Regions from separate parts of the Mus musculus genome. Here region 1 is reported to be linked to region 2. Evidence: microRNA targets listed by miRTarBase, many of them from high-throughput screens and not tested one by one. Region 2 holds a microRNA gene; the other region holds the end of a gene's coding sequence.
Evidence for each region. Region 2 holds the annotated microRNA mmu-miR-208a-5p (GAGCUUUUGGCCCGGGUUAUAC, at 2,669-2,690, shown strand). A microRNA usually pairs through its seed, bases 2 to 8, with sites in the 3' UTR of a target mRNA and lowers its output. Matches are read on the target gene's strand: a 7mer-m8 pairs with bases 2 to 8, a 7mer-A1 pairs with bases 2 to 7 and ends in A, and an 8mer does both.

Region 1 (4,385 bases), not on the chromosome of region 2:
GAGAAAGTACAGGAGTTGCGGGAAAGACTAGGGCAACAGGGTTTACAATTATATTGTAGATAGAAAAAGATTCTGATATGTGTGCCACAAGTGAACTCTAGCATAATCTCTGATTATGCTAGAGTCAGAGGTGGTGGCTGCCTTCTGGAGTCCAGCACTTGGGTGGCCTGGAAGGAGTGGGGGTCCCTGCAGGATTGATGCCAGTCTGAGCTACATATCAAGACTTTGTCTCAAAATAACCAAAAGGCGTGTGTTGGATTGCAACTCTACCACTTGATAGATGATCCCAGACAAACCGTTTAAGCTCTCCAAGGCTGTTTCCACCATTTGTAACATAAAGACAACAATGAAACATAACCTAAAGGGTAGCTGTGGAGAGTAGACTGCAACAATGGAAACCACTAAGCAGAGGACGGGCATAGTCAGATGGTCAATAAGTTCAACTGGGGGTTGGGGGGACTTACTGTGCTTCTCTGTGGAATTATCATTGCCTAAAATTGGGGTACATTCAAAAAGAAAAGGAGAAAGTACAGGAGAGGACTAGGGCAATTATTTTTATAGCAATTGTTTTAACCTAAGGAAAGGAAATAAATGGGAGAGAGGTGTATTGTGAGATCTCACTGTATTGATAATTTCTCCTCTAGGGTAAAAACACCAGATTCTATTAATACTCTCTTTACCTGTGTCTGCCACAAGACCATCATACAAACACAAGAGAAGCCCCAAATAAGCCTCCAAGCCTCTTGTGCTGGTGAGAGGTTCTGAGCTGGTGAAATACTTCCCCCCACAACCCCTCCCTCTGGCTGGAGCTGTGGCCTCTGGGATGGAAAGTCAGACTCCCCAATTCCATTCCCAAGGTTAGCCACCACCTTCTGGATCTCCATGCAGGGTGCATCTCTAAAGCAGAGAGGGTAACGTGTGGATACTTCAACCCCTTCTACCCAAATGAGAGGCGGGGTCAAGGTTTTCGGGGAGCAATCCTACCATCTCAAGTCCTGTAAAACTAAACTGGGGACTTGAGAAAACTAAACTCTCTAAACAGTTTATGAGGAAAAGCAGTGTCATGCCTGTTCCCTTAGCTATAAAACGGGAGATGATAATGGGACTTACTCCATAAAGTTCCCAGTGAAGATCAAATGAGCCAATATTTTGAGAGGGCTTAGAACACTCCCTAGCACAGGTGTTGGCTAAACTACCAGGGATTCTATTTCACGCTCTCTTGTTTGTAATACTTTTTATTTGTGGTCATTATTTCTCAATCTCGAGGCATTAACAATGGCCATGCCGTAGATATTCTAACCCCAATGCACCTCTGAAGTAATGCCCAGCTAGAAGCAGGTGTGTGCTTTAATGTACTGGGGGTTGAACCTAAGGCCTCAGGGCGTTCTGGCCAAACCTTCCGAGCTACACCCCTAAGCTCTGACTAATGGCTTATAAATCCTTCAAATCAAAGGCACCCAGCTTTTCCACAAGCCCAACCACAAATGGCTATATCTACTCATTTTATTTTTTTTTTGAGAAAATTAATTGCACAGAAAACAATACAGCAAAGATTTGAAACTAATCGGTAACTTTATTAATAATAATAACAGTGTCTACCCACTTGAAAATGCACATGCAGTGAATGGATTTATTCGATCTATGACAATGTTTGGAACTCTCTTTTGGATCCACAAAGCTCCTGCAATCAGCTCCAATAACCCTTACCACAAAGCAGAATTGAGAAAGCAATCAGACCATCAAGAATCTTCACCAACAAAATCAAGACTTCAAAGGAAAAACTCAGTATGCTACACTCCCCACAAAAGAAAACCAAGGCCGTTGTCTTCAGGTAGGAGACAAGAGTGGATGGTATTGGTGCAGGGGTTGGCCTACGGACCTCCCTATTTAGCTTCTACTACCTTCACTATTCGCTCCATAACCTACCTATCCTGTAGACCCTCTGAAATGTAAATGATTGGGACAATTGTAAATTGGAAGTTCATCTTAGTAGAGGATAGAAAAATTAAGAATGGGGATGGTGGCAGTAAAATGTCTCTCTCCCAAAGGCCAATGCTCCATTTAATACAAACCCAAGAGCTTCCTCTAAATTGTCAAAATTAAGGGAACTATTACGGCCAGTCCCTAGTAAACACACACACACACTCGAACACAAACACATGGCTTACTGGAGTTCAATGGCTGGGGTTCAATGGCTGTCACCCAACGGAAGGTCCAATAATCCAGTAGTTGTTCAGTCCACAAGGCTGGGTGTCTCAGCCGGTCTTCAGTGTATGGCAGAATCCCAAGTAAGTAGGGCTCTAATGCCAGTTCAGGAACAGACTTGCCATCTCCAGCAAGCAGGCAAAGAACAAGCTTCCTTCTTCCATGTCCTTAATAGAAGCTGCCAGCTGGCGTGGCCCAGATTAAAGGTGGGAAAGAACCAGATTAAAAATGGTTCTTCTCATTTCAAATTATGGAACTAAGAAAAAATAAATCCCTCACAGGTGCACCCAGCTGCTTGGGCTAAGAACCAAGAACAGCTACCACAGTAACGATAACTAAAGACAAATTTGGGAAAAAAATCCCCAAAACATTTCCTTTCCAACGTGTCTTCACATACATCAAATGGACAAGGCCTCTGCCACCCCCGCCTTAATATAAAAATTAATTCAATAAGTAATTTTAAAAAGCAGTGATATAGGCCCCTTGGTCTTGCAAACTTTATATGCCTCAGTACAAGGGAACACCAGGGCCAAGAATGGGTGGGTAGGGGAGTGTTGTGGGGAGGGTAAGGGGGACTTTGGGATAGCTTTTGAAATGTAAATGAAAATACCTAATAAAAATATATTTTAAAAAAAGCAGTGGTATAAAAATGAATTCAATAAGTAATTTTAAAAGTAGCATCTGCTGTGGTTGAGGCACTGGTGGGCTCTGGAGGTATAAAACTGTCAGACCCAGCTTGATCAGCAACAGTGTAAATAAGAAAGCAAAGGGAACTTGAGACAACTTCTCCTGGAGACACGACAGGAGGGAAAAAGCTAATTCCTGCGTGTGTGGATTCGAAAGATCGCTTCATGAGCCCAGAGAAGCAGCAGTAGCCTGCGGTAATCTGGCACTGCAGAGGTTAAAGCAAAGAATTAAAAGGAAAAACAAAAACAGAACAAAACAAACCAAGCAAGCCTCGAACAGGGATTTTAAAGCCTGATAGAGAACCATAACCGACTTCTACCAAATCGGCAGCAACGTGGAACATTCGTGTTTGTAAATCAGTAAATTAGAGGGACACCACCCTAAGTACCCCGTAACCGCTGGTGCCCAGGACACAAGTAAAGGGACAGAGCGGTTTCAGTTGTAGATGGCTGGTACCCAGCATTCGCCGACACAGTCTTAGCTGTGTCCTGGAGCCCTCTATTCGCCAGGGTAAGGAAACCATCTCACTTTAAGTCGACAAGTAAATGGTACCCCAAAAGCCTAGAACACGGAAACCGGGCCCAGAGACCCACCTCCATTATCCTAGTCTAAAAAGAACTCCAAGAAGCTAAGTAGGGTGCAGCAAACTGCAAACAGATACCCACAGGGGAACTCAAAACCACAAAGGCTTAAAACTTCTGAAGTGTACCCTTTTCAAGACCCTTGGAGTAACTTTGGAATAGGAACTAGAAACTAATGCAAGTGGCAAAGCTCTCTTCTGATTTGAGCGGGTGACTCACTAAAAGAGACTTTAAAAGATCAAAGGGGCCAGCGAGCGCCTCATCCAGGGAGGCCTCTACTTGGCGCTGGTGTACTTGGTGACGGCCTTGGTGCCCTCCGACACGGCGTGCTTGGCCAGTTCTCCGGGCAGTAGAAGGCGCACCGACGTCTGGATCTCCCGCGATGTGATTGTAGACCGCTTGTTGTAATGCGCCAGGCGAGAAGCCTCGTTTGCTATGCGCTCAAAGATGTCATTGACAAACGAGTTCATGATGCCCATGGCCTTGGACGAGATGCCGGTGTCCGGGTGCACCTGCTTCAGCACTTTGTACACATAGATGGAGTAGCTCTCCTTGCGGCTGCGCTTGCGCTTCTTGCCATCTTTCTTTTGCGCCTTGGTGACAGCCTTCTTGGAACCCTTCTTGGGAGCCGGGGCAGATTTGGCCAGTTCAGGCATGATTAAAAGCAAACAGTGGAAAACAGTCTAGTAAGTAGAAAATCAACCAGGGACCCGGAGGACTTGAGCCCTTTATGAACGCCTTATGCAAATTAGGTCTCAAAGTACTTTTAATTTCCATTGGCCCATACGCGAAACTTGCGTTTTCAGTACAAGCCTAAAATTTCAGATTTCATTGGACTTCTCAGGGGCCAAATAACCACCAATGAAAAGCTCCCTCCTCACCCCACCCCTAGGAGCGCCTATAAAGGCCTTA
Region 2 (4,385 bases):
ACTCCTCCTTGTGGAGTAAGTCACCCTGGTTCCTTGGCACTCGCTATTCTCACCTGCACAATGACAGTAAGGCTGTAACTAGGCTTACCAGCACTCATGTGTGGTTTGTTCCCATCTTGGCTCCATCTTCTTTATTTTACCCAGAATACTGAGCCATCCCCTGCATCTTCTGCCATAAGTCTGGGCAAGTTCTTTGGCCTCTAGGAGATAATAATGTCATTATTCTCACTGCGTCTATAGGCCCCTCCCTCTTCTGTGTAGGATCTGTGCTTCAAGTCCTACCTTCTCCACGTTGAGAGCAGAGGTGTAAGTCCCCTCTCTCCTACCTCAGGGTCTACTCTGTAGTTCATTAAAATTGTCCATTGCACCAAAAAAAAAAGAGAGAGAGAGAGAGAATTCCACAAACTTTCCCTATAGAGACAAAAGGCTAAAATGGCAAATGTGCATACTCCAGATTTAGTCAGGACCAAGTCTAAGGCCACACCAATGAGGTAGGGGTATGAAGAAGAGGGCATCTTATTGATACATAGCTTGGCTTGGAAAGGAGCAATCAAGCTACATCCTGGACCTAGGATACCTAAGGAATCCATGACATGGGGAATCTAGGTGATTAGACCTCATGGTTAGCTCAGATAATTGCAGTAGGATTTGGTTGTTCTTGAGGCAGCTTTGCTACAAATGTTAGTTTAAAAAAACAAAAAACAAAAAAAAAACCAAAAAAACAAAAAAACAAACAAAAAAAACCGAGTGCTCATTTCCTTGCCTTATAGTCAGTGGATCAGAGTCAGGTGAAACTGTTGGCTGTCTGAGGTTCATAATCTCAGGAGATCTCAGGATCCCGCTCCAAACACAGATGCTCAACACTTAGGCTGCAGATGCTCAAACTGAATCTCAGATGCTTTAGGGAAATCCTCCAAACTTTGGCTTCGGCCAATTTTCTATTCTAGGGTGTTTAGCAATGTCCCTTGCTTCTATAGCATCCTCCACACAGTTTAAAATGTCTCCAGCCATCACCAGCTATACCTAGTAGCTGAAAACCCGTGCTAGAGGTTTAGTGCGCATGGGAGCCTTTTAGAGCCCTGGAGCACGGGCCTCAAGGGAGGGGTCCAGGAAGCAGGTCTGATCCTTTGTATCCCTGGCTAGGCACGCATCGAGGAGCTGGAGGAGGAGCTGGAGGCAGAGCGCACAGCCCGGGCTAAGGTGGAGAAGCTGCGCTCTGACCTGTCCCGGGAGCTGGAGGAGATCAGTGAGAGGCTGGAGGAGGCAGGCGGGGCCACATCCGTGCAGATAGAGATGAATAAGAAGCGCGAGGCCGAGTTCCAGAAGATGCGGCGGGACCTGGAGGAGGCCACGCTGCAGCACGAGGCCACGGCGGCGGCCCTGCGCAAGAAGCATGCTGACAGCGTGGCGGAGCTGGGCGAGCAGATCGACAACCTCCAGCGGGTGAAGCAGAAGCTGGAGAAAGAGAAGAGCGAGTTCAAGCTGGAGCTGGATGACGTCACCTCCAACATGGAGCAGATCATCAAGGCCAAGGTGGGCCCTCTCAGCAGCTCCCCTCCTCCCTGCCAGTCGTGGCCCTTTCCACATTCACCTTTCCTCTGCTCATTAATGCCTGCAGGCCAACCTGGAGAAAGTGTCCCGGACACTGGAGGACCAGGCCAATGAGTACCGCGTGAAGCTGGAAGAAGCCCAGCGCTCCCTCAATGACTTCACCACACAGCGAGCCAAGCTGCAGACAGAGAACGGTGGGTGCCCCTTACCGTCCCCTAGCCTGCCCCTGGTAGCTTTGGTTTCCCCCTTCCATGGCCCAAGAACCCTTCATTCCACCTGCAGGGGAGTTGGCTAGGCAACTGGAAGAAAAGGAGGCATTGATTTCCCAGCTGACCCGAGGCAAGCTCTCCTACACCCAGCAGATGGAGGACCTCAAGAGGCAACTGGAGGAGGAAGGCAAGGTGAGGCCCATATAATGGCAGTGGGACAGACTCCGTGGCATCACTGGACACACTGTTACCTCCAAGAGTGCACCTGGATGCCAGAGGTAACCTGGTAACCTATCTCCCTACTAAATGGTCAGCCCTCCTGATCATTTAATGACTCCTTATTGGTAAAGGAGAGAGGTAGGCAAATGGAAATCACTCAAAGACATTGAGACTCCACTTCATGTGGGTGAATCTGGGTCTTGACTGAAGTAAATACGCATAAGAATCTAGAGACTGGAGGGTTGGGTTTGCTCCAATCTCCTTGATGCCCACCTCTTCCCAGGCCAAGAACGCCCTGGCCCACGCACTGCAATCATCCCGGCATGACTGTGACCTGCTGAGGGAACAGTATGAAGAAGAAATGGAGGCCAAGGCTGAGCTACAGCGTGTCCTGTCCAAGGCCAACTCAGAGGTGGCCCAGTGGAGGACCAAGTATGAGACGGATGCCATACAGAGGACGGAGGAGCTGGAGGAAGCCAAGTGAGTCCACTGTGGCTGCCCCTGGATTTGCCAAGAGAATGGAGCAGAGCGTCTGCTGTGGAGACAGGCAGAGTAGATGCAGGAAAGAGCTTTGGGGTGGGAGAACAGAGGATGGGGAGACCTGGTGAGCCATGGGAGTGTTTGGTAGAAAGCCTGAGTCCTGCAACCTGTAACGCCTGGCTGGCCCTTGCTTACTTCCTTTGACGGGTGAGCTTTTGGCCCGGGTTATACCTGACACTCACGTATAAGACGAGCAAAAAGCTTGTTGGTCAGAGGAGCTATCATCATGCAGCCTGGGCCTGAGGGAAGCGGGTGGGGGTGCACAGTCACACAGATGTGATGTATGTGTGGGAGAGTCTGAGCAGCCTGTGATGGACGTCTCTGTTCTAGGCTCCAGTAGCCCTCACATCCTCTAGGCTGGGGTTCCAACATCTTAGGGAACTGTGGGGAGAAGCTGGGTCTTTCCCATCAACACTCGGAAGGAGGAGATCATCTCACGTCCTTGTGGCTCCAAGTACAGTCACATACATTCCCCTGGACAGGAAGAAGCTGGCTCAGAGGCTGCAGGATGCAGAGGAGGCAGTGGAGGCCGTCAACGCCAAGTGTTCCTCCCTGGAGAAGACCAAGCACAGGCTGCAGAATGAGATCGAGGACCTGATGGTGGACGTGGAGCGCTCCAATGCCGCCGCCGCAGCCCTGGACAAGAAGCAGAGGAACTTTGACAAGGTAGGCTCACGGTGGGGCTGCAGACACTGTGCATGCTGCTGGTGGGGTCAGTGCCAGCTCAAGGCCACAGCATGTTCCTTGGAGGTGGGGGAGGAGGGCTGAGTCAGGAGAGGGGCCTGGGCAGTTCTGGTCACAGGGCGCTCCTTCCCTGCAGATCCTGGCTGAGTGGAAGCAGAAGTATGAGGAGTCGCAGTCAGAGCTGGAGTCTTCCCAGAAGGAGGCGCGCTCCCTGAGCACAGAGCTCTTCAAGCTCAAGAACGCCTATGAGGAGTCTCTGGAGCACCTGGAGACCTTCAAGCGGGAGAACAAGAACCTCCAGGGTGGGCGAGCTGGGGGACAGGGAAGAGCCTCAGGGAAAGGGAAGTGGGGCAAGGCATATTGATCTTTCTGGTCCTCTGATCCTCAGAGGAGATCTCAGACCTGACTGAACAGCTGGGAGAAGGGGGGAAAAACGTGCACGAGCTGGAGAAGATCCGCAAACAGCTGGAGGTGGAGAAGCTGGAGCTGCAGTCAGCCCTGGAGGAGGCTGAGGTAAGGGCCTAACTAGGCACTCTCCAGCCTGTCCTGCTGTATCCTGTCTTACCGCCTCACAGAAGTCACCCTGACCCCAGGACACAAATCTATTGGCTCCCATTCTTAGTAGACAGTCACCATGGGTATTCTTAGATACCCAGGAACAATGACTTCCCCCAAAGTTGAGTTCCTCACATTGTACAATGCCACAGTCTGGTTTGTAGGACAGAAGGCTTGCTTGCTTCCTGGCTGGAATCGGGCTATCATAATATCAGCTCAAACCACTGGGTAGGAACACAGGCTCCAGGGTCAAATGACCTAGGTTTGAACCCTGTCTTGAGACCCTCTGTGTGCCTTGCTGCCCTCATCTATAAGATGGAATTAATGTATAAACCTCATAGGATTATGTATATGATAATTATGAAGACTGAGTAAAATAACACAGTCAAGCACTTACTAGCCATGCTTGCTGCGCATTTCTAAGAACTTGGGACAGCCCGGGATTAGGGCTATAGACACTTCAACCTTTACTGTGATTTTTTGTTTTTAGTCAGATGGGTCAGGAACTCCTGCTATGTTAGTCCCAAAGGCCTGATGACTGAGAAGTCTTAATTCGGCTGTAGAGATGGCTCAACCATTAAAGGCTAGGCTCACAATGAAAAATATAAGAGAAGTCCTAATCCTCTC

Region 1: miRTarBase lists H2bc21 as a target of mmu-miR-208a-5p. Seed matches in the 3' UTR shown: 8mer at 2,789-2,796.

What each region holds. Positions count from the first base shown.
Region 1 is chr3:96,220,910-96,225,294 of GRCm38, reverse strand. It overlaps H2bc21 (H2B clustered histone 21), which reads right to left and starts at 4,223. Exons shown (of 1, transcript NM_178214.4): 1 at 1,557-4,223. The coding sequence starts at 4,129. The coding sequence ends at 3,749.
Region 2 is chr14:54,947,412-54,951,796 of GRCm38, reverse strand. It overlaps Mir208a (microRNA 208a), which reads left to right and starts at 2,655; the gene lies at 2,655-2,737. It overlaps Myh6 (myosin, heavy polypeptide 6, cardiac muscle, alpha), which reads left to right. Exons shown (of 39, transcript NM_001164171.1): 26 at 1,144-1,533; 27 at 1,619-1,745; 28 at 1,834-1,952; 29 at 2,263-2,459; 30 at 3,002-3,185; 31 at 3,340-3,505; 32 at 3,592-3,716. It overlaps Gm52092 (a long non-coding RNA gene), which reads right to left and starts at 757. Exons shown (of 3, transcript XR_003950992.1): 1 at 283-757; 2 at 89-200.